3 linked regions of the Anolis sagrei genome follow. The protein of the gene in region 2 purifies or fractionates together with the protein of the main gene of each other region. This does not show direct contact. Links are inferred from orthologs where the notes say so. Each region holds a gene or a part of one and is shown on either strand. Other genes may lie near its edges.

Region 1 (10,600 bases), about 110 Mb from region 2:
AGCTTGAATCCCAAGAGCTGCCTGTCCAGAAAGGAAGTCACACCAGAATCTTCCACAGCGGCAACATTCCCTGGTTTGTTTGTTTGTTTTACCCATGACAATGTGATGTGGGAAAATGGCTAAAACACAAAACTGTGCTCAAATGTTGTACATATTTTACTACCAAATTCAGAAGACGTTAAGAAGCCAGACTTTAGAATACTACAGTACAGTAGTTCATAACTGCATGAGTGGAATTCATCATGAAATAGTTGGGAACGGCACTGTGACTGACTAATTTGAATTTGCGTCATCGTTGCTCTCTGGGGCCCCATTAGTCACAAAAGGCACACTTTAATCAATAGTGTTCTGCCCTTTGTGTATGTGCTGTGTGACCCCAAATGGCTGTCGTGGTTGCAGTACTGTGGCTCCTTGTAGTCCACCATGAGGATCTGGACCTTGTTGAGCAATATTTAAATAACAAGATTTGATCTCTCTCCCTTCTGGAGAAGAACATGTTTTCTTTAAAGGTTTAACTGGAACATGCATTTCATTGGCACCAACGTCAAGAAAATATTTCTTTCAATATATGGTCCACTTAATATTAAAATTTGCCTAGCCTAGGCTTCTATCATATATATATTCCCCTTTTTGTTGTATTATATATATATATTTAAATTAAAATACAATACTACAACAATTAGCTATTTTCATATAAGCTGTAGTTTCACTATTGACTTTGCAACCTCTCGACTTTATTTGTGAAATGAAAACAAACAGCTTCACAGGGCTATTATGCTGCCTAAAAGTCAGATTTCGAAGCTAATTACAATGGCCCAAATCTTGTTGAATTATAAATTAATAGATAGGTAAATGCCACAAATTTAATGAATACAATCTAGTAGGGAGCCAGAGTAGTGTAGCGCTTTGAGCGTTGGACTATGACTGGAGATTAGGGTTTAATTCCTTGCTTGGGCATGGAAATCCACTGGGAGTCATTAGAGAAGGCACACACTCTCAACCCCAGAATCTCTTGATTAAAGTCACTAACACACTCTATCTGGAGCTGCAACAGGACACAAACCAATGGCTATTAAATAATGGATGCAATCGCATACACTTAATGTCATAAATAAAAACATGAAATAAAACGCTACTGCTGTAAATGATTCCTAAAGACGTGGCGCCAAGATCGAATATTAATGGCTTTATGAAGTCCTCCTACTATGTTAAATCAATATGTGAGCATCACAAGACCCTATTGCTATAATTCAATCCTTAATAAAGGCACCACATTCTTTACTAACCATGTATTTGGCAGCTATGACTAGGTCTTTCAAACACACGGTTGCAGTGATGTCTAGCAAAGGCTGATTCTACACTGAGTGTATAATGCAGTTTGAACTGCATTATATGGCCAGTGTAGAATGCAGTTCAGTGTAGTATAAACTACATTATATGGCAGTATAGATCCAGCCACAGTTGTGGAGAGCTGTATTGAAGATGGAATCTTTTCCTTACCTCCTCACATGTTCATGTTGTGTGCTTTTGTGAGCACAGCTTGGGTGAATAGGTGATTTGCAACCAATCTGATTATTTTCTTTCTTTAAAATTTAAATTCGTATTTCTACAATGTTTGAATCATTGTAACTTTTAGGTGGTATATAAATCATACTGCACCAGTTAGCTCTTTGGGGGAAGGATGGGGGAATGACACACTATCTGTGAAGTTTAAAATGATTTGGCCAGGTTCCAATGCACTTACACTCTAATCCTAATAACAATGGTAGTTGGCTATTTAGGCTACTGCATTATCTGTGCTACTGTAATTGCCTTAGGGACTTATCACACCAACGTTTTATGACATATTATTCTGTTGGCAATCAGCTCCGGCCAGTCTTCTGAAAGTTGCTGATTGTGGATGCTCTCTATCGCACCCTTGCTGGAGCTACACAGCATATTTTTGTCATCTGCATGGATGCATCACTGCCACCTGCCTTATACCCCACCCCACTTCTTCGTGTCTAATTTTTTAAAGAATTAATAGTGTTATGATAGAACATTGCTATAATGATAGGGTGTGCTATAGATTATGACAACATAACAGGAAAAAAATCTGAATTTGGAAGAGTGTATTAGAGGAAATGAAAAATACCAGAAAAGCTATCTTCCCTGTCCAAGCACCAGAAGTAACAGGCCAGATTTCCTAGGGAATCCTTGACAAAGGGATAACCTGCCGACACTCAAACCACTAATTCACAGATAAAATACCATGAGCTATCAGCACCTGGTTACTGAGGTTGGATCTACATTGTTCTATATCCCAGGATCTGATCCCAAGTATCTGCTTATCTCAGATTATCTGACAGTGTAGACTCATATAATCCAGTTCAAAGCAATATAATCCAGTTCAAACCTAATCTAGAATCATTTCCTGGGATATATAGGGCAGTGTAGACCCAGCCTGAATTGTTTTTGGTAAAGCTCATTAATGGATTGTTTACTGGGTTTTTAGTGACTTCACAATGCAACAATGATGGTATAATAGCATGATGTGATAATGCCTTTAATGTGTCACTGTATAATTGCCTGGTAAGAAGGTCAATATACTGCCCTGTTATGCTACTGGGGAAAAGGGAGCTGGACTTTCTATTATTATTGTTTTTGTTGTTGTTGTTGTTGTTGTTGTTATTTGAAACACAACAAGATGAGTCCACAGCAGACAAGATAACTCTGCTGGCTGTTGTATTGGATCACACGTCGGACACTTCCCAAGTGTGTAGGACTGTGTGATGTATCGGTGAATAATGCGTGCAGATCCCAGTAGGGTGGCTTTCTGCAACTGGTAGATGGTAATTTTATCAGTGCCAATTGTGTTTAACTGCAGGCCAAGGTCTTTAGGCACTGTACCCAGTGTGTCAATCACCACTGGGACCACCTTTATTGGCTTGTGCCAGAGTCTTTGCAGTGTCAGCTTTTCCAGTTGTTTCTCTTCAATTCTGCTGTCACCTGAGATTGCAACATCGACAATCCATACTTCGTTTTTTAACACAATTGTGAGGTCAGGAGTATTGTGCTCCAAAATAATAATAATAATAATAATAATAATAATAATAATTATTATTATTATTACTATTATTACTATTTAGACTCTGCTTTATCTCTCCCGAAGGGGACTCAAAGTGGCTTAACATAAAAGCATTAGTACACAATTCCAAATATAAAGCTATACAAACATTAAAGCAGAATTAAATATAAACAGTATTAAACATTTACAGTTTAAAACCATTCAATGCATATTCAAATTCAAACCACAGCACCTCCTGGCTTGATCTTTAAAACCTTGATCTTTAAAACCCTGTCTGAATAAGAAGGTTTTAGCTTGCCACCAGAAGGACAGCAGGGAGGGAGCCTTTCCGGCATCCCTGGGAAGAAGAGAGTTTCAGAGTCACGGGGCAACCACCAAGAAGGAAGGCTCTCTCTCTCTCTCTCTCTCTCTCTCTCTCTCTCTCTCTCATTCCACCAACTGGGCTTGAGATGGAGGTGGGACAGAGAGAAGGGTCTCTCCTGACCATGGCTTCAGCTCTTTGGGCCAGCTGAAGTTTCTGATCACCCTTCAGAGGCACCCACACATAGAGCATGTTACCACAATGGCCAGATCTGGCTTCTCAAGGAATGGGCACAGTTGGCACACAAGTTTTAATTATGCAAAGGCCCTCCTGGCCACCGCAGATACCTGGGCCTCCATATTCAATGCCAAGTACAAGAGGGTCCCCAAACTGAGAACCCGTGTCTTCAGAGGGGAGTGTAACCCTATCCAGCACAGACTGGATCCCTATTCTCTGGTCTGCCTTCCAATTGGCCAGGAGTACCTCTGTCTTGTCTGGATTAAGTTTCAATGTTTTTGCCTCATCCAGTCCATTACCGATGACAGGCACTGGTTTAAGTTCAGGACAGCTTCCTTGGCTTTAGGTGGAAAGGAGTAGTAGAGTTGGGTGTCATCTGCATATAGGTGGCACCAAACTCCAAAATTCTGGGAGGCCTCTCCCAGCGGTTTCATATCTAGTCATAAAGCTTTTCAATATGTTCATTTACATTAAGTAAACTGGGGGGAAAAATCCAAGCTAGAAATTCAATATACACTTACAGCATTTTCTTGTATTCTTCTGGAAGATTTTCCTTGGTGTTGGACTAGGGGCCCTTCCACACAGCCATATAACCCAGAATATCAAGGCAGAAAATCCCACAATATCTGCCCAGGGCCCCTTCCACACAGCTGAATAAAATCCCACATTTTCTTCTTTGAACTGGAATATATGGCAGTGTGGACTCAGATAACCCTGTTCAAAGCAGATATTGTGGGATTTTCTGCCTTGATATTCTGGGTTATATGGCTGTGTGGAAGGGCCCTAGGACTCTGGAGACAAGGGTTTGAATCTCTTCCACTGAGCCATGGAAACCTGTGGAGTGACTAATCCACTGGGTGACTCAGCCACACACACACACACACAAAAAGGCAACAGCAAACTCCCCTTGAAAAGTCTTGCTAAGAAAACTCTGATATGCTTTCCTTCGGATCACCGTGAGTCAGCAGTGTCTTGACACACAATAGCAGCATCAAACAAAATCTTTACTAACCAAAGAATGCCACCCTGCCCTCTATTACTGTAACAGACTATTGAGGCCCCTTCTACATTGGCATATAAAACCCAAATTATCTTCTTTAAATTGGATTATATGACAGTATAAACTCATATAATCCAGTTTAAAGTAGATGACATGGATTATCTGCTATATATGGCAGTGAGGAAGGGGCCTAAGTTTGTGGATATGTCTAAAACAACAAACAAGTCTTTTCAGATCTTCTACTGACAAAGAAAATAACCTTTTCCAAAACCTGTTCTGGGGAAATGTTATTTGTCAGTCACAAGACATGTATATGATCAGATTCACAATATGCTCTGTCAAATGGGCTGAAAGGAAATTTCATTTGGGGCCTACATTTGTTTAGTCCAAATAGAATAGATTTGTTGAATCAATAGTAACACCATGTTCACTTCTATTGATTCAACAAATCTAATCTAATAAGGATTTATTAGATTGGACCTAACCCTTAGTATATGCAGAGGATCAAATTTAAGAAGTAGATTAGAGGGCCAGTTACAGCAACACCCGTTAAGCTTTTTGGTGCACTTTTTAAAAACGCACACATATACTTCTTAATAATTATGCTCAAACAGGGCAGAAATATCTGTTGTATCCATAAGCAACTTCTTTGAAAGTCAAATTATTGTGCCTTTGAGAGTAGTAGATGGGTTAATAATTAAAAAGATAGTAGCTTGTAATGTCACTATTTGGTCATGATATAAATATGCCTGATAAATCTGCAGAATCTGAACCCCATTCCAGCGTTGAATGCCTCTGCCTCGTGATTCTGACAAAATCAAACACCCGGAGATGTGCTACTTTTACTACTTTCATCCAGAAGTAGAGAACTGGCAAGATAGTATCAGTGGAATCAGGCCCGTAGCCAGGATTTTGTTGGGGGGGGGGGGGGGGGAGGACTGAATTTTTTTCAGGGGGGTTCGGGGGGGGGGGGGCTGAGTTTCGGGGGGGGGGCTGAATCTGAGTGAAAGAGGGTCTAGCCTAGCAAACCTTTTGTATCATTACCCCAATACCCCCATGCATATGGGATATATTGAGTATGGTGATCAGATCATGATATGAATAAACATAACAGTTTAAATAATGCACCAGTAAGGCCTTTTCGCGAACCACCATCAGAATTTCGGGGGGGGGGGGGCTGAACCCCCCCGAGCGCCCCCCCCCCCCCCCCCCGCTACATGCCTGAGTGGAATTATCTGATTATTTGGCAGGCTTCAAGTCCTTCTCACACTTAGCTACAATTATTTCCATGTTCAAAAAGGAAAACAGAGTTTCTCAGCAATGAGATGCAGAGAACCCTTTGTATCTGCTGGGGTTTGGTTCCAGGACCCCAAAGACACCAAACAGTCGCTTAAGCAGCTGAGGGAGAAAAGGAAGGGGCCTGAGGCTGCGAGGAATGATGGGAGTTGGAGTCACAAACACCTGGAAAGCCCAAGCTTGCCCAGGCCTGACCTACAGTCTAGATTCTTCATGGTTTGTCTATTACCGCCAATAGGCCCGCAAAGGAGGCGTCTCCCCACGCGCGGGGTCCGGATTGGGCCACTGGTGTCCGCCCCTCCTCCTCGTGGCCGGAGTTCCGGGTTTTTAAAGGGAGGGCGCCTTGGTGGAGGATCTCCTCCGTGGACCGGGCCGGGCAAATTTTGGGTCCGCGCTCTGCTCCCACTCCTTGGCCACCATGACCGACCGCTCCACCTTCGACACCAACGTGACCACGCTGACCCGCTTCGTGATGGAGGAAGGGCGCAAGGCCAAGGGCACCGGGGAGCTCACCCAGCTGCTCAACTCCCTCTGCACCGCCGTCAAGGCCATCTCCACCGCCGTGCGCAAGGCGGGCATCGCCAACCTGTGAGTGACAGACAGAGAGAGAGGAGGAGGAGCCCTTCTCTCCCCAGAGCCCCTTCCCCTCCCCTCCCCTCGTGGACACCCACAATGTTTGCCACTCTTGGTCTCTCCTGATGTACCTACACTCCAGCTTCTATCATCCTTGGCCAAGTCAGATAGTAGGAGCTTCACCTTACAGCATTCATTGGTCAACTTGGGCCTTCCGGGTGTTTTGGACTCCCACAATTCCTAACGTCCTCAAGACCAGCCACGAGGAAAGGAAGGGGCCTGAGGCTGTTAAGAATTGTGGGAGTTGAAGTCCAAAACACCCAGAGGGCCCAAGTTGGCCCATGCCTGGTGTAGATGCACCCATATGAACAGTATTGGAGATGTATTGTCGAAGGCTTTCATCACTGGAAGCACTAGGTTGTTGTGGTTTTTTAAAAGCAGAAAACCTGGGGTTTTTTTTACCTCAGGTTTTCTGCTTTAAACTGAATTATATGATTCTGCACTGCCAGATAATCTGGGATGAACAGAAAACCTGAGATCAGATCTTGGGATATAGGACCAGTCTGGAAGTGCCCTTTGAGAGTAGAGTTGTGTGGATTGGACCTACTGAGCCCCCTTCTGCTTTCCTAGAAAGAGAGTGGTGAGTAGAAGAAGGTAGTGGCTAAAGGAAGAGCATCGTTCTAGGTGACACATTGTGTCCATTCCTTTCTGCTGTAACACCAAACCCTGTCTAAGATCCCAACATCCTTGGCTCCTTCTTAAAAGGATGAGTGCCCAGTAGGAGACATTAAGGACCTAAATCTTGTTGGCTATCATAGTAGAACCATTGGATCTACTAGATTTGACTATGTGTTACCTCAATGTTCAACAGCTGAGGACAGGCTTAACAAGAGCTCAGCTGGAGTCCCCTTGTATGAAATGCTTGGCACCAAAAGTGTTTTGTTTTGGAATACTTCTATTTGCATATATATATATATGCATATTAAGATGTCTTGGAGATGAGACCCAAGGCTAAACATGAATTTGATTTTCGTTTTGTATGCACCTCATACACATAGCCTAAGGGCAATGTTACACTAGATTTTAATAGTTTTGTGCATGAAGCAAAGTTTATACTCAGTGTAACATCAGAAAATATAGAAGTCATTCTTAGCCACGTGTGTGGACAATTTCATATTGTAGAGTATTTCAAAATTGTGGACAAGGGATGCTCAGCCTGTACTTCATTTGGGACTTACCCAAAAGATTTTAATGGAGGTGGTTAATCAGTTGATTTTCCTTTTCATTGTCATTGCATTGGAACCATTTGGCTTAGGAACTTAATACTTGTGGGGGAACACATTTCTATATGTACCAATCTCAATATGAGGTTTTCTGAATGTATCTTCCCCTGTGAATCATCTCGGAGATTAAGATTGTCTGGGGAAGCCCTGCTCTCAGTCTCACCTTCTTCACAAGTGCGGTTGGTGGGGACGAGAGACAGGGCCTTCTCAATAGTGGCCCCTCAATTGTGAAACTCCCTCCCTAGTGATATCAGGGCAGCCCACTCCATCCTAGTGTTTAGAAAGAGAGTCAAAACCTGGCTCTGGAAGCAGGCGTTTGAAAAATAGAGCAGTGCCGGAATCTTAATATGGAATATTTGCATTTTGACTACAGATTAGCCTTTAGACTACGACTCTGGATGATGTGATTTATTGAAATGTATTTTATTATGCTTATTATGTTTAGATTTTTAACTCATGTTTTAACTGAGGTTGTATGTTTTAAGGCACTGTGAAGCGATTGTAAGCCGCTTTGAGTCCCCATCGGGGTAGAGAAAGGCGGGATATAAATAAGGTAAATGAATAAATAAATAAATTTCCCATCACTGAGAGCAATATATGGAGTGAAGATAGCCTTTTCAGCTGTGGCTCCTTCATTTTGAAATGTCCTCCCATTGGGCCTCCAATTGTCAGCAATACTGCTTTTATGTAGGTGCCACATTAAACATGGATATTTTATTAAAGCCTTTGGGCCTTGTTGGTGTACTTTAAACAGAATGGCCAAGGGCGTTAAACACATTGAATATAAATTAATAATTTGTCTAGCTTTATCAGAGCTAGACATACAGACCTCCTACCAGTAGGTAAGGGGGGATTCTGAAGACAGGTTTGCAGCAGTTTCCAGCTAACAATAATATAAGTATAAATGACACAAGAGACCCAATTCCGTTTTCCACATGTGTTGGAAGACTGGCCACCACTCTAGTTGGAAAATGATGGGAATTGTAGTTCAACATATCTAGAGTTGTCAAGAAACAAAAAGTGGGTTATACTTGCAGTATACATTACATTCCTATACAGTGGTCAGTCCTTCCAAATTAAATAAACCTAATTCTGAGGTAAATGGGAATAAGAGTTCAATCTTGGGCCCTTTCTACACTGCCATATAAAATCCAAATTATCTGCTTTGAACTGGATTATATGGCAGTGTAGACTCATATAATTCAGTTCAAAGCAGATAATCTGGCGGGGGTGCTTTGAATGTGATTGTCCTGCTTCTTGACAGGGGCTTGGACTGGATGGCCCATGAGGTCTCTTCCAACTCTATGAGTTGGAATTTCCTGCTTTGAAAATCTGGATTATATGCAGTGTGGAAGGGGCCTCCATCTTGTCCAGTATATATTTTTCTGTTTCTAGCTAGGAAGCATTGCGTAGTTGGCTGAAAACAGCTTTAAGGCTAAATAGAGAAGGTGATTTTTGGTATTTCAGAGCACTACAGCAAAGGGAACAGAAGCGGGTAATTTTTGATATGGTAATGCTTCCCTTTTTTGGAACAGGGTGCTGGAAACATGTTTTTTTCTGTCTTATTGAATAGAACAAAATCTCTTTTGTAATGCACATTACACTAAGAAATATTATATGCCAACATCCGCTTAAGTGTGCTTCCTCTCTCATGAGCAAGTTATGATGCAAACGTAACCGTTTATAACTCAATCTCCGTAGTAATAGCATGAAGAAACCAGTGTTGACACCATTCTTCATCTGTAGTACCTTTGTTGGGACATAGTTCTTTACCACTCTTACTCATTCAGTTATGTTGGCCCTTTCCCTCCGTGTGCCAATGTAGCTCATTTAAAGCTGAGCCAACACAGTAGCGGTCTGCATTACTGCTGATATACTATGACCCACTTATCACTTTAAGATTGTGTTGTCGAAGGCTTTCATGGCCAGAATCACTGGGTTGCTGTGAGTTTTCCAGGCTGTATGGTCATGTTCCAGAAGCATTCTGTTTCAGAAACATTGGGAGAGAATGCTTCTGGAACAAGGTCATACAGCCTGGAAAGGTCACAGCCACCCAGTTTAAGATTGGCTTAATGTGTAACTGAGACAACTCAGACTATAAGATATTTTTATGTATTCACATCAGTTCACTAGGACTCTGTATTTTAATTTTTGTAGGGATTAATCAAAACTAGGATACTGAAATATTCTAAATACAGCCAGTCCCCAAGCTATGAACAAGATTGGTTCTGCAGGTTTGTTCTTAAGTTGATTTTGTTTGTACATTGGAACAGATACCTTTAAGTGTAACTCCAGCTAAATGTGTGTGTGTGTATGGCCCCTCTGGTGGCGCAGCAGATTAAACCACAGAGCTGCTGAACTTGCTGACCAAAAGCTTGGCGGTTCAAATCCAGGGTGGCTGGAGTGAGCTCCCGCTGTTATGGCCAGCTTCTACTAACCTAGCAGTTTGAAAACATGCAAATATGAGTAGATCAATAGGTATCGCTTCTGCAGGAGGGTAATGGCTCTCCATGCAGTCATGCTGGCCACATGACCTTGGAGGTCTCTACAGACAATGCCGCTCTTCGGCTTAGAAATGGAGATGAGCACCCCCACCCCCCCAGGATTGGACACAACTAGACTCAATGTCAGGGGAAACCTTTACACACACACACACACACACAAGCTTTGGATAGCACAGGAAGGGTTAACACCCCTGTGGAGTTTGCTTTGCTACCTGTGCCCCGGTTCAGAAGATTTCCTCTCACTTTCTGTTCCTGTGATCACTGGATTTTGAAAAAAATCCTCTTGTTGTGGAAACAAGGATTGGTTAGAAAGTTTCAGTGGAGATACCTTTTCCCCAT
Region 2 (9,878 bases):
AACAGATCTCAGGGAAAAAGATGAATCGGTAAAGAATAGGATGGATTTCCCCCCTCTTTGTTCTGACATTCTTGCCATTCCCATAGATCAGCAGAACCTGACTTTTGATCCAAGCACAGCAAACAAATACCTGCGGTTGTCTGATCTCGACCGGAAGGCTGCTCATCCTCAAGACTTTCAAAAAATGCCAAATGAACCTCAGAGGTTTGAGCCTTGGCAGGTGATGTGTGTCCAGAAATTCAGCCAAGGCAGTAACTACTGGGAAGTCAAGATATCGGGGCAGTCCGCCATTGTTGGCGTCGCTTATGAAAGAATCTCGAGGAAGAAATGGGGCAGGCGAAACTTCACTATTGGGCAGGACCAGCTCTCCTGGGGCCTGCATGTCCAAGAAGACTGCTATGTGGCTTGGCACAACGGTGAACCTACTAAGATCAAAGAGCCTTTGTGCAAGTTCATTGGCATGTCTTTGAACTGTGACCACGGGGTCCTGAGCTTTTACGGTGTAGATGACAACATGAAGCCCTTGCATTCATTTGACACCATCTTTTCAGACCCACTTGTCCCAATTTTTTGGCTGTGTGAAGGCACAACTATCACCCTTTGCCAAAAGGCAGAAGGCCAAGGCCAAAATGATGGGATGCCTGCAGACATACAAACAACTCTCACCACTGTGGCGAAACAAGGAGATAAGCAGACTGCTACAAAACAGTGATAGTGAATCTTTGTAGCCTTCAAGATGCCCAGGTTTGTAGTGGTCTGTGTGTTTTTCTCCTTTGTAAGATCATCCCCTGAGACATTACCAATTTCTGTCTCTTGCAACTAAAGTTGTAACTAACATGCAACTTTGAGAGTACTTACTAATCACTAAGAAACTAGACATAGAAGTTGACCTATCTTAGCCATCTGTTTCTTGATGTAACATCCTGGGGAAAATGTGGCATTCTAAAATTCTTACCTTATTTTAAGAAACTCAGCAGTGAAAGTGGATCAGGTAAGTGATTACAGGAAGCCTCCAACTTACAAACATCTTACATATGACTCCTAGTTACGAACGTATCTGTGGATGTGGGGGGGGGGGGGGGAGGTACTAGGTCGACCAGCCAGCATCGCATGTTGGGTCTTTTGCAGTGTATGTTGTGGCTCAGCCAGATGAAGATGAGGGGTTTGGAGGTTCAGGGCCTGATGGTTCTGTAGGTGAGCAAACAGACGTTGTTTTAGAGCAAGATGGTTCTGCAGCTGAGGGAATGGAATGGGTTTTGGAGCAAGATGCTGTTGCTGAGGCAAAGTGTGAGAGTGAAACTGTTTTGGAAGCCAACAGGCAAGGAGGGGAGGATAACATTAGTTCATCTGAGGAAGTAGCTGGGCTTAGAGATACCAGGCTGCTTCTGAGGGAGCAGAGATTCAGGTGCAGAAAAACCCATGAGAGAGAGAGGCAGAGGCAGGCCTCTCAAGGTCAAAGGAATGTGTTCATGTTTTGCAGTCCTTAAATTAGTGAGAGAGCTGTTAGGATTTTAGATCATGCAACGTCACTACTGGAGTGAGGAACTCCTGTCTTGTTCTTGGTTCATGCCCTAGTTCAAGACCCAAGATTTGTGATCAAGTTTTGCTTCTTGTTTTATGGGTTTACCTTTGGGTTCATGCCCATCTTCTGCTCCTGGTTTCCTGGATTAATGTTCATATTTTAAGCATTGTTTTCTGGATTTACCTGCTTTTTGGACTTGCTCCTTTATTAACACTTGGATTTTTACCCTTCTATTTGCTTAAGGTGCCTTTGGTCCTTTTTATATGTGTTTTATCAATAAACTGTTTATTGCCATGTTTGGTTCCTTGATGAGTGATGTGAGCAAGGTGAACTCCTGCTGAGGTGCAACAGTGTAAGAGATGTAGTTTTAGAAACTGCTCTCCTTCCCAATTTCTCATGTATGAGACTAGAAGATAAGACCGGTGTTTGGCAGTCACCCAGCACTTAAGACCTTGAGACATAGCTACTCTTCAGTTGTTTACTTGCTTTGTATGTGAGCCCATAGAAATACAATAAGTGAAAGTGGGCCAATAGTGAGAAAAGACAAAACTTTATAACCAATTAGAAATGTACTGTTTCAATCTGCTTCACCTCCCAGAAATCCTAACAGCTGGTAAGCTGGCTGGGATTTCTGGGAGTTGTAGGCCAAAACACCTGAGTACCTACCGGTTGAGAAGCACTAGCTTCTAATCTAGGAAATGTTTAAAACCCATAGGAGGGTCTCTCCCAGGCTTATATTCAGGAGGATGACTTTAATAATAAATGGGTACATCTAATATGAAATCAAACCGGGATTGTGGCGCAGCTGGCTGAGTGTCAGCTGCATTAAGATCACTCTGACCAAAAGGTCATGAGTTCGAAGCCAGCCCGGGTTGGAGTGGGCTTCCAACCAATTGTGTAGCCTGTTGTCGACCTTTGCAACCTGAAAGACAGTTGCATCTGCCAAGTAGGAAAATTAGGTACCACCTTGTGTGGGGAGGCTAAATTAACTAATTTACGAGGCCATAAAAAAGACTCCAGCAAAGCACTCCAGCAAAAGCATGCGGGGAATGCGGAAGTACTTCATCAGTGTCGCAGATGGACGATGAAAGCGACAGCTCCCCTGGAGGCCAGAAAAAGTTAAATAGCCTCTGTGTATGTCTGTATACGTTGAATGTCAAATTGGCATTGAATGTTTGCCATATATGTGTACATTGTAATCCGCCTTGAAAGCAGCAGTGCCGGGGCAGCAGCGGCAACAACACGACGTTCAGCCTGCAAAGGCTGAATGGCCACCTGATAGGAGTGCCTTGATTGTGCTTCTCCCTTATGGCAGGAGGTTGGATATACATCCTGCATATCAGAGATTTACATAATGATTCATAACAGTAGAAAAATTACAGTTATAAAGAAGCAACAAAAATAGTGTTATGGTTGGGGGTCACCACAACATGAGAAACTGTATTAAGGGATCATGGCATTAGGAAGGTTGAGAACCTCTGCACTACTGGCTGTTAGGTATTGTGGGAGCTGAAGTCCAAAACACAAGGCGGGCCCAAGCTGGCCCATGCCTGCTTTAAAGAAAAGCAATGACATTTAATTCTATTGTAATGTTTCACATATTTGTAGATTTGAAATTGCATTGAAATGTAAGCTGCTTTGGCCCCTTCCACACAGCTGTATAAAATCCACACTTAACTGGCTTATATGGCAGTGTGGACTCTGATAATGCAGTTCAAAGAAGATATTGTGGATTAACTGCCTTGATATTCTGGGTTATATGGCTGTTTGGAAGGGCCCTTTCAGAGCCCTATATCCCAGGATTTGATCCTAGGTTTTCTGTTTATCCCAGATTATCTGGCAGTGCAGACTCAAATGATCCAGTTTAAAGCAGAAAACCTGAGATCAGATCCTGGGATATAGGGCCTGTCTGGAAGGGCCCACAGTCTCCTTGTGAAGGCAAAAAGTGGTGTATAAATAAACATAATAATAATATTGTAGAACAGAAATCTGTTCCTGGTTTGAAATTGTTATTTTCTGTTTAATTGTGCAGCTCTTACTTTGAAAGTAGTAGTTCTCCTCTAGAAACGTTGTGTGGCTGCCACAAACTATGATGACAAGAGGTTATGGGAATTCGGCCGACAGGCTGATCAGTAAGCATATTCATGGGTTCCCTGCTGTTCTAGTAAACCTGTTACTACAACATGCTTGAAGTCAACATTTCATTTATTTGTAATTTGAAAGAAATGTTTCACAATATATAAAATAAATGTATTGTCGAAGGCTTTCATGGCTGGAATGACTGGGTTGTTGTAGGTTTTTGTAGGGCTATATGGCCATGTTCTAGAGCAGGTCCCCCCTAGGGGGTGAGAAGGGCGGGGTAGAAATGACCGAAATAAATAAATAAATAAATAAATAGATGCGGCCCTCCAGGGTCATTTACCCAGCCCTTGCTCAGGGTCAACCTACGTCTGAAACGACTTGAAAGCATGGAACAACAACAACAATCCTATCTCATCAGCCAAAAGCAAGGCCCACATTTCCCATTGAAATACGAATAAGTTTATATTTCTTAACATTGTTCCTCATTTTAATTATTGAATTGTTTTAAAGTGTTTTTTACACTACAAATAAGATATGTGCAGTGTGCATAGGAATTCATTCATTTTTTCCCAATTATAATCCTGCCCTCCAACAGTTTGAGGGACTGTAACCTGGCCCTCTGTTTAAAAAGTTTGTGGACCCCTGTTCTAGAGGCATTCTCTCCTGACGTTTCGCCTGCATCTATGGCAGGCATCCTCAGAGGTAGTGAGGTCTGTTGGAACTAGGAAAAAGGGTTTATATATCTGTGGAAAGACCAGGGTGGGACAAAGGACTCTAAATGTTTCACAATATTCCCGTGTAAACTATAGTCCGGCCCTCCAACAGTCTGTGGGACAGTGAACTGGCCCCCTTTTCAAAAGGTTTGAGGACCCCTGGAGTAGACCAACTAAGATTGGCCTCTGGGGGGATTTTAAGTCCACCCAAAAACTAATCCAAAGGCCTATACACACGGGGAACTAAAGCAGAGGAGAGGAAAAGGCAGAGCTATGACTTGATAGAGGTGTTTTTGTCCTCTTGCCTTTTATCACATCAAGCCACGGGGTGCGGTAGCTTTCCACGCAGCCTTCAGGTTAGTAGACGACTCCAGCCCTTCGAGGAAAATGTCAGATTTTTTCCTACCCGAGTCTTCAAATGCGCAGGAGATTCCGAGATTTAAACGAGCAAAAATGTGCTCTTGGAAACGATCGCTAGAGGGCGCTCGTCCGCGGAAACTTAACGGAGGTCCTGATGTCTCCGCAACTCCAGACAGACACCAGATGCGCTTTTCTCTGTGTGTCAACTTCGGCCCTCCGGGTGTTTTGGACTCCAACTCTACCGGCTGTTAGGAATTGTGAGAGTTGAAGTCCAAAACACCCGGAGGGAGAGCCGAAGTTTGCCCAAGCCTGGCTGTGGCAGAGGCAGCCTGGGGTTCCTGCGGGCGGGAAGGCGGAGGGGCGCGCGGGAGGCCCCTCCCCTCTCCTCCCCTCCGGAGGGGATCCGCCTCTTTGGCCGAGGGCTCCTGCCCGCTTGCCTTCCCTCCGCCTGGTCCTCGATGGCGGATGGCTCTCCGTCCCCAGCGGCGGCGGCGGAGGGCCCCTTCGTGTGCCCGATCTGCCTGGACGTCCTGAAGGAGCCGGTGACGGTCCCGTGCGGGCACAACTTCTGCCTGGGCTGCCTGGGCGCGCACCGGGCGGGGCAAGGGTCGGCCTCGCGCTGCCCGCTCTGCCAGGAGCCCTTCCCGCCGGGCCTGCAGCTCCGCAAGAACCACGCGCTGGCCGAGCTGCTCCTCCACCTCCGCCGCCCCCCCGCCCTGGACCCCGCGGAGGAGGAGGAGGCGAGCCAGGCGGGCTCCCCCCGTTCTCCTCCTCCTCCTCCTGCGGGGGTGCTGTGCGACTTCTGCGCGGAGGAGGAGGGCCGGGCGGCGGCGGCGCAGTCGTGCCTGGTGTGCCTGGCCTCCTTCTGCGCGGCCCACCTGCAGCCCCACCTGCGCAGCCCGGCCTTCCAGGGACACCGCCTGGTGGACCCCGCGCCGCGCCTCGAGGACCGGCTCTGCAAGCTGCACCTGCGCCCCCTCGAGGCCTTCTGCCGCAACGACGGTGCCTGCCTCTGCCTCCTCTGCAAGGCCGACCCCCAGCACCGCGGGCACCACGCCGTCGCCCTCGAGGACGAGATCCAGCGCGCCCAGGTGAAGGCAAAGAAGGAGCGGGCCAAGCAGGGCCTCTCTCTTATCAAGCGGGCAGGAGCAAACATTCCGGCCTCCCTCCAGCCCTTCCTTAGGCTGTTCGGAATGGTGGGAGTTGAAGTCCAAAACACCTGGAGGGAAGACCCAAGGCTGATAGTATGATAGCTGGGTCCGGAAGCTCCAAGCGTTACGGAGATGCCGCATCGCTCCTTCGGGAGCGCAGTTTCCGCAAGAGAGACTTCGCTCATGTAAGCCAGGCCGGAGACAGAGAATAGAGAAGGAATGGAAGAGTTCTTGCATGGTGAAACCCTTACCCTAACCCTGAACCCTACTATAACCCTAACCCAAACCCTAAACCTTACCCAAAACTTTACGCTAACCCAAACTCTAAACCTTACCCTTACCCTGAACATTACCATAAGCCTAAACCTAACCCCTTACCCAAACCCTAAATCTTACCCAAAACCTTAAGCTAACCCAAACCCTAAACCTTGCCCTAACCCTTACCCTAAGCGTCCCCTCCTTTCTATCCTTCCTTCGCTCTCCCTGCTCTCACTCCACCCCCTCTCTTCCCTTATTCACAGCCACCTTTGCAGCATCTCCGTAAGGCTCGTGGACCCAGCTATCAAAATATCACCCTCTCTCTTATTAAGCGGGCAAGGGCAAACATTCCCGCCTCCCTCCAGCCCTTCCTTAGGCTGTTTGGAATGGTGGGAGTTGAAGTCCAAAACACCTGGAGGGAAGACCCAAGGGTGATAGTATGACAGCTGGGTCCAGAAGCTCCAAGCAGTACGCACATTCCGCAACGGCAGTTGTAAATAAGGAAAGGGACCAGGTGAGGGCAGAAGAATAGAAAGGAAGGGAGGGTTAGGATAAGGTTTAGGGTTAGGATTAGGGTAAGGTTTAGGGTTTGGGTTTGGGTTTTACCATTAAAGAACTCTTACATTCCTTCTATAATATCGCGTTGCGTGAACAGCGCTCCCATAGGAGCGAAGCAGAAACAGCATAACGCTCCTAGCTTCCAGACCCAGCTATCATACTATTACCGACACTTAGTTTGCCTGTGCCACTATAAAGGGAAAGGTGATAGTATGATAGCTGGGTCCAGAAGCTCTGAGCGTTACGGAGATGCCACAAAGGTGGCTGTGAATAAGGGAAGAGAGGGGGCGGAGGGAGAGCGAAGGAAGGATAGAAAGGAGGGGATGCTTAGGGTAAGGGTTAGCTTAGGGTAAGGGTTAGGGGTTACAGTTAGGGTACGGTTTAGGGTTTGGGTTAGCATAGGGTTTGGGTTAGGGGTTAGACTTAGGCTTACGGTTAGGGTTCAGGGTTAGGGTTTCACCATGAAAGAACCCTTACATTCCTTCTATATTATCTGTCTCCAGCTTGGCTTACATGAGCTAATTCTCTCTTTTGCAAACAGTGCTCCTGAAGGAGCGATGCAGCATCTCCGTAATGCTCGGAGCTTCCGGATCCAGCTATCATACTATTACCAAGGAAATAACCTGTTACCCAGTTCTGACAGTCATTTTAGTGGATTGCTGTGAGTTTTCCAGGCTGTATGGCCATGTTCCAGAAGCATTCTCTCATGACGTTTCGCCCACGTCTATGGCAAGCATCCTGAGTAGATCAATAGTGCATCTGGGCATTTCTAGGACCTGCAGTATGTGACCCCAGGTTGGTTGGTCTATAAAATTGATATAAACATTCAAATTTTGCAGCCAACAAATCAGTGTTTGTAAAGGCTCACTCAACAGGCTGGTTTTTCTTTCTAAGGAGTTACAGCTGCAAAGCCCACTGCATATTCTTGCTAACTGTTTTGTGTCAATGGGTGGTGTTCAGGAACTTAGTGCTGTTAGCCAATCTTTCATGATCCCAACACTGTGCAAAGGGGACTCCATTGAGGGCTGGAGCCCAAAGTTTAAGAAGCAGTGTTTTGGTTGGCCAGGTTTCTGATAGTCGAACTGCAAAACTGCTGGAGGGCCAAAGTTTGGGAATCACTGGTCTATACTGTAGAAGGTTGTGTAAAACTACAGCTTCTGTGATTCCATAGCATTGAGCCATGGCAGTTGAAGTGAAGTCAGTCAAGCTGCATTCATCCTATAAGGTTGAGTCTACATCGTAGAATGAATGCAGCTTGGCCCCAGTGGTGCAGTGGGTTAAACCGCTAAGCTGCAGAACTTGCTGATCAGAAGGTTGGCAGTTCAAATCCGTGGGATGGGTTGAGCTCCCACTGTTAACCCCAGCTTCTGCTAACCTAGCAGTTTGAAAACATGGAAGTGTGGCTAAATCAATAGGTACCGCTCCGGCAGGAAGGTAATGGCACTCCATGTAGTCATTATGGCCACGTGACCTTGGAGGTGTCTACGGACAACATCGGCTCTTCGGCTTAGAAATGGAGATGAGCACCAACTCCAGGAGTTGGACACGACTAGACTTAATGTCAAGGGGAAACCTTTACCTCTACACTGTTAGATGTTCCCAAAGCATCCTCCCCAAATGCCTGGCATTTCCTATTCTAGAAGCAGCCAGGAAGAAATTTGGAGCTTTGCATATTTATGGTCAGGTTCACAGTTTTCTGGCTAGAATGCAACATTATATTTCATAAATACTTGTTTACATTCTAGCCTGCTCCTACAACTTTGTATCTGTGTTTCAACACAAGTGGTTTTAACATTATTCTGTCCCTGCATCTGGAGAAATAGATTGCTATCCATGAAAACTCATGCTAAAATTCATTAACTGGCAGAGTGATGCTGGACCCCCCCCCCCCTTTCTCCCTGTTATTCAGGACTTGGAAATGTTACCTCTGTTGGATTTTGGAAGTTGCAGTTCAAAGAGTAACTTTTCCAAGCTTGGGAGAAATTACATGCCTGCAACTGGAGTCTGAGAATGAATCAGGGCTTTGTGGCAGAGCTGTGGGCCAAATCCATGACTTAGAGCGCTGAGTTTCAAATGGGTGGAGGAGCCTGCAAAAGTGATTATAGCAAAAGTCAGTCTTGACTACTCAGAAACAAGTTCTGATGAAATCAGTGAGGCTGATTTCCTGACAAGATTGTGAGCAGTACTGGGAAAAGGGATAGTATTGCTCTCCCCCCCCCCCCCCCCTTACACTTTCTCCATAGAAGCCAACAGGGGACAATATGTTGTTGTTGTTGGGTACCTTCAAGTTGTTTTCCCACTCATAGCAACCTTAAGAAAACTCTGTTACAGAGTTCTCTTGGCAAGAGTTTTCAGAGGGGGCTTCCCTTCTCTGAAGTTGGGAGAGTGTAACTTGCTTAAAGCAAAGTTACACTCTTTTCTTTCACAGTTTGAGTTCTCTTGTGCTGATTTGGGGGTCAGTTGAGAGATGTAGTCACATATTTTTTGCATCACTCATGGTCCTGCAGTCTTGGGGAAAACATGCCTAAGATGGACTGGAAAGTTAAAGGTGTTGAGAAGTACATACAGTATTGGATCTGGGGAGTTCCAGATGCAGGCGAAGAAAAAATGAGTAAGAGGTCTAAATATACAGATACAAAACTGAGGAAGGAGCATAACTTTGTGGCCACTGGCCATGCAGGCTATAGTCCCAAAAAAAGTAACTTTCTAAAAGCGGCAGTCTAAAAAAAGTAACTTCCCCAATATTTTCATAGAAAGTCCCAGGTTTGTATCTCTGATATCTTGGTAAAGGGGAGCCAGTTTAGTGCATTAGTCTGAGTGTTGGATTTTGGCCCTAGCTTAGCTACTGAAACATACCGGGTGAACCTGGACAAGTCATATTTTCTCAGCTTCAGAGGATGGTAATAGTAATCTGAAAAAATCTTGTCATGCAAAACCTAGGACAAGGGTTGTTCTAAGTCAGAGTTGATTGAAATAAATCTCTAGTCAGACTTGGCCACAGTAGTTCACACTCTGGTTACATCCTGAATAGAGTACTGCAACACACTCTACATGGGGTTGCCTTTGAAGACTGTTCGGAAACTTCAAGTGATCCAACAAGCGGCAGCCAGATTGCTCACCGGAGCGGGGTACAGGGAGCACACATCTCCCTTGTTACGCCAGCTCCCCTGTCTGCCAGTTTGCTACTAAGCACAATTCAAATTGCCAGCTTTAGCCTATAAAGCCCCAAACGGT
Region 3 (10,176 bases), on a different chromosome or scaffold from region 2:
AGTTAATATGGTAAGCTTCCCCGCTTTTAAAGAAAACATGCTTTGAAGCACTCAAAAACTGAAATTATGCATATTTAATGATTTTTCTGTTTAGTTATATAAATGCTTTAGATTTCTTACATACTACATACAGACGTTCTTTGGTTCAGACAGTCATGTCTGCCATTGGGGTGTTTAAATTATTTTGCAAGTAGTACATCATGTTTTGCCTAGCAATATTGATCTCCCCTATTAATACCAAACAGGTGGTTGTCAGCAGACCTATATGGGCCTATAACACAAAATATAACCGGAATGCCAAAATCATTTTGTTAGTCTAAGACAGCAATTCAAAATTTGAATAATTAGTGTATTGTCTCCATTAGACCGGTATATCTTTCCGTATATACCTGTCTAATTTATGCACACAAATATGATCCTGGACCACCCTGTGTCCCTCTCGGGAGAGAGGGCGGTCTAGAAATAAAGATTATTATTGTTATTATTTTCTTTTCTAAACTACAACAAATATATAGATACAAAATGAACTCCCTATGGAATTACTATGCAATTTAAAAGATCAATAGTCTAGCATGGGAACATGTAGAGTTCCCTTTTAGGCCCCATGAAATGAACATACTTCAGCTCTGATAAATGTATTTTAATACAAATTACTACTTATCAAGCATTTTAACTGAAATGAATGTGGTTATTATAAAAATAACCACATGGTTATGAAAGTATTTTCTACTTTTTTATTAGGATATATCCTTTGGAATCTCTTCTGGATCCTTTTCATTCATTGGCCATGTGATTTTAGAAGTCACAACTATGGAGATTTTACATATCATAAGAAACTTTACATACCTAGATATACAAATAGAAATTTATGCTGCACACTTACTTTTTGAATCTCATATTGTTTATACTGTCTATGTGTTATTGCTTCTAATTGATAAGCGATGTATCTGAAACACAAGTGAATGTTGGAACAGATTAGGAAGACAAGTTTTATAATGCGCCTAAGCTTATTAAGCTACGTTCACGCCTCTGTACAGTATGAATATTGTTTTCTGTTTGAAACAATGGCACAAATTAAGATCCCCATATTTGGTGATCGGTGTAAACACTGTTGACAAGACAGTGAAATACTCATTCAATTCCTTTTTGCCAGCTTAAGTTAGAATTTTCACATATTCTAACCTTTCTTAGCAATGTGAGGAAAAACAGAGTAAATATATTAAATTTGTTTCACAACAGATGCTTAGGTTGTTAATATTTAAGATGTCTCTTAATGCTATGCCTGTCTGCACATTTGTCAAAGAAAAAAGTGTAAGCTGGAGTGCTAATGTTTGCCAGCAGAGTGGAGCAGACTGTAAGTAAGAATGCACAAAACCAAAATAATAGTTGGGGGAGAAAAAATAAGTGGCAGTTTCTCAGTCATATCTTTTAGTAACACAGAATAACGATCTGTCAGATTAGAACATCATCCAATTTAACTACAGAATGCTTCACTGGGAAGTTATGCTGCTTGCCCAAGAAATTCACATTTAACCTTATTTTGGGGAGGGGACTCTCAAGTTTAAACGGATCTCTCAAATAAAATGCAAATCAGATGGTACTGATGCCAAGAATCACAGCCGGAATTCCCTTCCAACAAAGCAAAGCAATTCTCTGCCACTAAAAGAGAAACTTTTGCTCCAGCACAAGTTAGCTGTCATCGCCAAACCTGTTGAGACACACCTCTGAAAAAGGCTGGTTGAAACTAAAGTATTCTGACACAACTTCAGAAGGTACCCTCTGAAACTATTCTGGATCTATGTGGCTTTCTAAAGCTGTCAAAAGCTTTCCAAAATCAGGATTTTTTGTTAAGGGGAGGAGAAAGGGGAAGATGAGTGATCCAGTGCCTCCTTCTGGAGGGGACACTTAGGAAAAGTTCAGGTGAATAGCCAAAGGAAACTGCATTTCCTTATGGGGTGCCGTTTCAGGGACCACCCAGTGCTTAAAAGGAAGGAGGCGGGATGGAGGCTGCCCAGGGAAAGGCGGGATGCGAGGGAAAGAGAGAGGCACCTGCGAAGGTGTGAGCGAGAAGCCGCCTCCTTAAGGTCATCCGAGGGACAATTGGACACATCCCGCCCATCAAATGCCCTCAATTTTGGGAAACACGAACTCTTCCCGCCAAAAAGCGCCTCTAAATTGACCTCTCCCTTGTCTGGCGAGAGAGTGTTCACCTCGCCTTTTCAAACTCGCTCACTTTCCTGTCAGTCTTGTCAGAGTCCCCGGCCTTCCTCTCCTCTTCCTCCCGCCGCCAGCATCTCCCCTGAGTCTCCTTCCTTCCTTCCTTCCTTCCTTCCTTCCTTCCTTCCTTCCTTCCTTCCTTCCTTCCTTCCTTCCTTCCTCAGCCTCGCCTCAAAGGCCCCTGAACCTAAAACTTCCTGGCTGCGCTCCGGGAAGGCGAGACGGAGTTGAGCCCAAACTTTTCTCCCGGCGCCACGGACCTCGCTTGCCTCAACTTCCCCGCCGGCAGGTGCCTCTCGGAGGTGCCTCCGAGCCATTTCACCAAAAACCAATGTCTGTCAGAAACAAAAAAGCCACGAACTTACAAAAAACCCCAAAACCCTACGAAGACCTCGGCCCTGAAGACCTTCGCTGGTAGCTAGGGAATAGGTACATGGGGAAGTAAAGCTGCTGCCTGAATAAAGCCACATAGCTGGAATTGGTTTCACCGCGTAATAGTCGCTCCCACCCCTTTTCAGCCAAAAAAGGGGTACAAAGTGGGATGAGTGAGAAACCCCTCTGAGCCCCTCTAAAGATGAGTGAGAAGCCCCTCTAAGCCCCCCTAAAGATGAGTGAGAAACCCCTCTAGAACATGTCCATACAGCCCGAAAAAAACTAAAACAACCCTCTAAGGATTGCTGTAAGTTTTCCGGGCTATGTAGCCACGCTCCAGAAGCATTCTCTCCTGACGTTTCACCTGCATCTATGGCAAACAACCTCAGAGGTTGTGAGGTCACTCTAAGGCTTTCCCTCAGCTGAGTGTGAACTCTTCACTTTCAGAAGTAGATAGATACAAGCTCTCTCAACCCCTCAGCCCTTCCTACCCGAACTCAAGTTTGAACTCTTCACACCCAGAATTGGATACAAAACGACAACAACAACAAAAGAGCGGGAGGGGGAAAAGAAGAGGGTGTTGGAAGTGGAGGGAAAGAAGGAAAGGAAGGCAGGCAGTCAGGCAGGCGAGAAAGGACGGAGTCAGTCACTCACTCATGAGAGCGCGGCGAGGCTGGGCGACACCTTCCGCTTCCCCGGCGCCGGCGAAGTTAATTGCACTGAACTTCAAGTTGTCTTTTCAGCCATCAGGAGTGGGCGTTTAAAGGAAGGAGCGCGGAGGAAGAGGAGGAGGAGGTGGAGGAGGAGGAGGAGGAAGAGAAGAGGAAAGGAGGAGGGGGCACAGAGAGAGAGAGAGAGAGAGACAGAGAGAGAGCCTGCCACCCTCTCTCCCTCCCTCCTCTGCTCCTGAACTGCCTGGCAGGCGGCGACTGAAGAGGAGGAGGAAGGAGACGACGAGAAGGCGGCGCCCCACCGACCGACCGACCCACCGCCTGCCTCTTCCACCTTCTCTCTTTCTCTCGGCTGGCACTGAAGCCCACCAAGTGCCCGACGCGGGGCTCCTCCTTCGGCTTCCTTCCTCGATCAGGAACTCTGTTTCGCTTTCTTCTTTCTTTCTCTCTCTTTCTTTTTGTCTCTTTGCCTTCTGGCTCTTTTCTTCCCGCGGAGAAGACTGAGACGGAGTGAGGGGCGAAGAAAGGTTGGCAGGAGGAGGAGGAGGAGAGGGTTGGCTTGGCTTCCCTTCTTGCTGCTGCTGCTGTTGTTATAATTATTGTTTTTGTGCTTGTCTCCTCTGCTCTCCTCGTCCGCCGGCGTCTGCCGTTCCTTCTGCCACCCTCCCCTAGGTTTTGTTGTTGTTGTTGTTGTTGTTGTTTGTGTGGGGCTGGCTGGTGAGCGCGCCTGCTTGCCTTCCTGCCTGTTTCTCTCTCTCTTTTTCTCTCTCTCTCTTTCTGCCTTCCTCCCTCGCCGCCCCGGGGAAGGAGGAAGTCAGGTGAGACGCACTCACAGGCTGCACACACTTCCCTCCCAGTCCCCGTGCGGCGGGAAGGAGCTCATCACTGTTGGGCTTGTGTTGTTGTTGTTTTTCAACGCTATTCTCATCCCTGCCCCCTCCTCTTTCTCTTTCCCCCACCTCTCTTTTCCTCAACGCTGCTCCCCTTCTTTCCTCCCGGAGAGCAGCGCCCCTCACAGGCTCACCACCAAGGCTGCTGAGTCTCCCCTTTTTATCTCCTCCTCCTTCTCTTCCCCCCACTTTCTATCTATCTCTCTATTTATCTCTCACCCCCACCTTCTCTATTCCCCCCTCCACTCTAATATTTATACACCACATGCTTGGCTGTCAGCTGCTGCTCACTTCAAATCTAAGAAATAATGTACTGTCGAAGGCTTTCGTGGCCGGGATCACTGGGTTGCTGTCTTCTATGGCTATCTTCCAGAAGCATTCTCTCCTGACGTTTCGCCTGCATCTATGGCAGGCATCCCCAGAGGTTGAGAGATCTGTTGGAAACCAGGCAAGTGGGGTTTATGTAATGTCCAGGGTGGGAGAAAGAACTCTGCTTGAGGCAGGTGTGAATGTTGCAATTGACCACCAGCAGTGGAACTCTGTGTGGTGGAGGCTTTTAAACAGAGGGTGGATGGCCATCTGTCGGGGGTTCTTTGAATGCGATTTTCCTGCTTCTTGGCAGGGGGTTGGACTGGATGGCCCACGAGGTCTCTTCCAACTTTATGATTAGCATTTACTGGTCTTGCAGCTTCAAGGTCTGGCTGCTCCTTGCTTGGGGGAATGCTTTGTTGGGGGTGTGTGTGATTAGATGGCCCTGGTTGTTTCTTGTCTGGAATTCCCCTGTATTAAAAATAAACTCAAAAATCAAAACAGTTAATAAAGAACAATACTCAAAGTAGGAAATTACAGACAAGAAACAATCAGGGCCAGCTAACACTTTCCAACAAAGGATGCCCAGGCAGCAATCAGACAGGCTTTGAAGTTACAAGGCCATTCAGTGCTAATCAAGGGTGGACAATTGCAACATTCACACCTTCCTGAAACAGACAAGAGTTCTTTCTCCCACCCTGGACATTCCACAGATATATAAACCCCATTTTCCTAGTTTCCAACAGACCTCACAACCTCTGGGGATATGTATTTATCATATCAGACGCGAACTGGGGGTACAGTTGTACTGTATACAGTATTGGGTTTTTTTTTAAAGTTTTTAAAAACTTGGCCTTATACTAAATAATATCCTTTGACCAGTAGCTGGCCACTTGGGAGTGCCTCTGGTGTTACTTTAAGGAGGTCCTCCACAGTGGATGTGGCAGGGCTCAGGTTGCATTGTAGTAACTGGAAGCGACTTTTGAGGATGCCTGGCCTGCCATAGATGCAGGCGAAACGTCAGGAGAGAATGCTTCTGGAACATGGAAAAACTCACAACTAAGAAATAATGTTTGAGGGGTGGGAGGTAGAGGAAGAATATGACCGAGCAGGGCAGTTTTCCAAAATCTAACAAAGGTGATCAATATTTTAAGGCTCGGGAGAAGATCGGGAAGGAAGGAACGGGTTATGATCTTCCTCTCTTTCTGAAATTGTGATACATATAAAAATACCGAGAGGAAGATCATAAATATATATATGGAGGGAGGGGCCACTCTTTCGACTGCTGGATCGTGGCTTCAGAGACACAGAGAAAGAGACACACGGCGAGGAAGTGGAAAAAGGAAAGGGAAACTTCTGTGTCAGAATGCGAGCATATTGGCTCTTCTGCTCTGAAACCTGGACCGGCAACCGAGAAAGCTGGCTTCCTAGAAATCCATTGAAAGAGGGAGGGAGGAGTGCTGCCTTTAAACCTGGGATTTGGAGAGCTTTGTATCCCTGCTTGGCGTTCCCCACTAGAGTTACTTAGAAGGTATTCGGCTCTGTTGGTTCTCTGCCTTCGGGTTCATTTCCCGTTTTGGTACCTTTTAAAACCTCCCTGCAGCCTCTCAGACAGACTTTGAGACCTTTCCTGTCTTCACAGGAGCAGAGTATAGAGAAACCTGGGCAAAGTTCTTGGAAACACAATCCTTACAAACCTTTCCCAGCCCCCCAAACCTCAGGAAGCTACCTGATTGATCTGAAAGCAGGGAATTCAGTGTCAAATCCACCCTGCTCCTTTTAATTTCTGGATTATGCATGCTTCTTTCACAACAGATTTAACTATAGGCATATTTTGGCATGCAAACAATGCCCGGGCAATGATTATAAGGGCACACCTTTCTTTAATAACTGGTAATAATATACCATTTCTGAAATAATAATAATTATTAATAATACTAATTATTATTCATCAGAATGAAACCTAAGTAAAGGTTGTATTATATGTTGTTGTATGCTGACAAAAATGCCAACTTGGCAGTTCTTAGTTCAGAAAGACAAAACTTTTGGCTACATTTTAGTAACTGAAAAAATAATAATTTTAACACATTACAACTTCAGTCCACTGCTGGTTCAATCTCAGATTCCTGTCCTTTCAAAATATTCTTAATTTTTTTGCAAATCCATCAGACAGGTAGAGAATCTGTAGTCTTCCATAGACTGGACATCGTCCAACTTCCAGTCAGTATGATCAAAAGAGTGTATATCTAAGAATCAGAGTACTTTGGTACTAAGTGTATAACTTAAATAGCTTTGTAGTACTGAAGGAGTGATTCCTGATATGCATGTTGGTACTTTGAAACAACACAGTTAACTGCTCTTAAAAATCACGAGGGAGTGGTCAAAGCATTACCTGTCCCAATAATAATAATAATAATAATAATAATAAACTTTATTTGTACCCCACCACCATCTCCCCAATGGGGACTCGGGGCGGCTTACATGAGGCCAAGTCCAACAACGCAACACAATAAATAGAATACAAACATAAACAAGAACATAAACAATTACATAAAACATAAACTATAAAATACTATAACCAATATAAAATTGCAATAAAATCATTCATAACACAAAACAGTGAGTGGGCCGCATGTATAGAGTGAAATACTAAAGGTAAAAATGGGGTGAGATACCTTTACTATTTGCGAGGGGGGAACTCTTCCGAAATGGGGTCGAAAAAGGTACCTTCGTACAGGGGGGAGGTATGCACTAAGAACAAGTGTTACTGGCAATATGATACAATAACTATCTAGAAGTCATTGCAAAGCCAACACAAATGGCTGTGCCCTGGTGTTACCTGAGTTGTTATGACCAGCCTCATTATTAGGCAAATACAATAGAGTCTCGCTTATCTGACATAAACAGGAGCCCCTGGTGGCACAGTGGGTTAAACCCCTGTGCCGGCAGGAGGAAAGACCGACAGGTCACAGGTTCGAATCCGGGGAGAGGCGGATGAGCTCCCTCTATCAGCTCCAGCTCCTCATGCGGGGACATGAGAGAAGCCTCTCACAAGGATTATAAAAACATCAAATCATCCATGTGTCCCCTGGGCAACGACCTTGCAGATGGCCAATTCTCTCATACCAGAAGCGACTTGCAGTTTCTCAAGTCACTCCTGACACGACCAATAAATCTGACATAAATGGGCCAACAGAACGTCGGATAAACGAAAATGTTGAATAATATGGAGTCTCCTACTGTTAGCCATTTGATGCAGTGCTAGACACCTAGAATACTACAACAGGGACTCAAATGGTTAATGTAAGGCAATGCCTCGGGGTTAGAGTGGCCCAGCAGGAAGTGTCCAGATGTGGAAGAGGAACATGGAAATCACAGAGGGAAGGAGGAAGGATGCTTCTGCTTCCGGTCCTGCCTCTTCCTCACCCCCCTTGTCTCACCTTTTTCACTTATAGGGAATGGAGAGAGAGTTGGGAAGTGCTCCTTTAATTGAAAGAGAAATGCTGGAGGAAAAAGGATAGGAGCGTCGGATGAGACGGAATGTCGGATAAGCGAGACTGTAGAAGCAACTGCTTTAGAAGGAAAGCACTAAGGAGCAGTGAGGACAGCCCCTTAGTGTCCATTGGCTTTTCTCTTGAAAACAGCTCTGTCTCTGTCATGGAGTCTGCCTTGCTTCTCTCCCCCCACCCCGAATAGTCCATTGCCCTCTAAAATAGTGGGCACTATCCTGCAAATTAAGATTTAACAGATAACTGGTGGTGCAGTGAATTAAACCACCAAGGTGCTGAACTTGCTAACCAAAATGTTGGTGGTTTGAATCCAGGGAGTGGGGTGAGCTCCTGCTCTTAGCCCCAGCTTCTGCCAACCTAACAGAAAACATGCAAATGTGAGTAGATCAAGTGGTACCACTCCAATAGGAAGGTAATGGCGCTCGATGCAGTCATGATGACCACATGACCTAGGGGGCGTCTACGGACAACACCGGCTCTTCAGCTTAGAAATGGAGATGAGCACTACCCCCAGAGTCACACACAACTAGACTTAATATCAGGGGAAACTTTTACCTTTACTATATAAATTATGTGAATGGAGAAAGGAATGCCATCTTATCTCTTTCCTCGGTAAGCAAATTGGCTTGGGTTGAGCTTGACCACTGTGTTCTGGATCTGTTCAAGCTCAGTGAATATATTCATTTAGTAATGAGGTGAATAAATAATGGATTCCATATCTGCCTTAGTATTGAAGACTTGGCCTTCTCACCAGTTTGAGCTAGTAATGTGTTTTCTCTGAGATACTATTGCTGAGGTCGATCTAGCTGTTTCTGAAGGCTGTGTGTGTATGTGTGTCAAGGGAAACTGTATCCCTGCACAACTACTTATAGTGATATCATATAATGCATTCCAGTTGCAGGTTGCCATTTTAAACTCAGATGACATTGTCATCCCATGTCCTTCAGCTGGAAACAACATGCCAAATACTCGAATGTGATCAAACAGTAAGAGGTTATTCAATTCTGTGCAGGGACATCTAGCTAAATTTACCCACCTGTTCTGTGAGTCCTTCTGCCCTGTGTTGGCTTTTGTATGTCACAGTTCTGATATTACTTCTGCAGCATGAATGAGAGAAGAACGCCACATTGAATAAACCATGGTGAAGAATCATAGGCAGGGCCAGCCCAATATGTTTTGCTGCCAGAAGCATGCGGGCTCAGATCGGTGCCATTCTTGTACTGGCAATACTCCCAAAAGTCACAATACATAGTACCCAACTCTCTCAAAGTTATTTTGCTACCTAAGGCATTTCCTGGAAATAAAAAACATAATCAATATATTAATATGTAATAATAATCTGTTACTTGATGTGGTTACTTCACTCTGCCAAATGGTTGGGCTGGTCCTAGTCATACAGAGCTCCCCATTAAGTTTTATAGTTGCTGTCAAGAGACAAATCAAGCCAAACCAAAGGAAAGATACTGCTTTCTTATTGTATTTCAACATCAGCCCCAATGTTAAAGGAGTTTGTCCATTGAGATAATATTTGCTAATCATAAATAAAAGTCTGAGGAGAGGCAGCAGGAATTTATCTTGATCTATTCCTATTCATACAAGAAGAATAATTCATTCAAATCTTAATTATCTCCAGCATAAGAATTTGGCGTATTGTATTCCATATAATGTAGCACAGTCCTCAAAGTACTTAACTCACCCACAAGTGGATAAACCCTTCATATTATCATTTCTATTCCCATTTTTAAAATAACCTTTATACTGGGCAAAAGAAGAAATGCTACGCATTTCATACAAATGTTTACTTTCTTTACTAAACCATGACCTAAATGTTGACCCAAAGAAAATAAAGTGATTGTACTTGTCATTCCACATGTGCTTTGAGAACCCTTCTATGAATGTTGTGTGGAAGAAGCTGTATGCCTCCTTCCTCACTTTTTGAGTACATGTAGCAACTTCACTTAGCAGATGGTTCCAAATACACATTTAATGCCTGTTAACAAGTTAGTAGAAAAGCAATTGACCGTTCATCTTTATACAGGGGGAGGCAATATAAAAAGGGTCACTGCAAAAAGCTTTTTCACACTTCTCTATGAACATTCATGCATATATATATACACATACATACAGTACATCTTAGAGTGCTTTGCAAGATGCATTTCTAGCACTCGATGAGTGACATATTTTTTGTCAATAAATGCTGTTTGCCTA

The links.
Region 1: the proteins of TRIM47 (region 2) and fructose-1,6-bisphosphatase 1-like purify together in Homo sapiens (affinity purification with western blotting; 3 studies listed by BioGRID). This does not show direct contact. The link is inferred for Anolis sagrei from reciprocal best matches to the Homo sapiens genes TRIM47 and FBP1.
Region 3: the proteins of TRIM47 (region 2) and SATB1 purify together in Homo sapiens (affinity purification with mass spectrometry; 4 studies listed by BioGRID and IntAct, with this or other methods). This does not show direct contact. The link is inferred for Anolis sagrei from reciprocal best matches to the Homo sapiens genes TRIM47 and SATB1.

Annotation. Positions count from the first base shown.
Region 1 is NC_090022.1:230,377,698-230,388,297, reverse strand, and holds the start of fructose-1,6-bisphosphatase 1-like, read left to right. Parts: upstream 1-6,237; 5' UTR 6,238-6,319; coding exon 6,320-6,489; intron 6,490-10,600. UniProt on the Homo sapiens protein: Catalyzes the hydrolysis of fructose 1,6-bisphosphate to fructose 6-phosphate in the presence of divalent cations, acting as a rate-limiting enzyme in gluconeogenesis. Plays a role in regulating glucose sensing and insulin secretion of pancreatic beta-cells.
Region 2 is NC_090022.1:118,481,830-118,491,707, reverse strand, and holds the start of TRIM47 (E3 ubiquitin-protein ligase TRIM47), read left to right. Parts: upstream 1-5,061; 5' UTR 5,062-5,135; coding exon 5,136-5,768; intron 5,769-9,878. Other genes in the region: E3 ubiquitin-protein ligase TRIM65, read left to right, coding at 87-712. UniProt on the Homo sapiens protein: E3 ubiquitin-protein ligase that mediates the ubiquitination and proteasomal degradation of CYLD.
Region 3 is NC_090026.1:87,917,102-87,927,277, reverse strand, and holds the start of SATB1 (DNA-binding protein SATB1), read right to left. Parts: upstream 4,172-10,176; 5' UTR 3,248-4,171; coding exon of another isoform or gene 3,244-3,247; intron 948-3,243; 5' UTR 884-947; intron 1-883. UniProt on the Homo sapiens protein: Crucial silencing factor contributing to the initiation of X inactivation mediated by Xist RNA that occurs during embryogenesis and in lymphoma.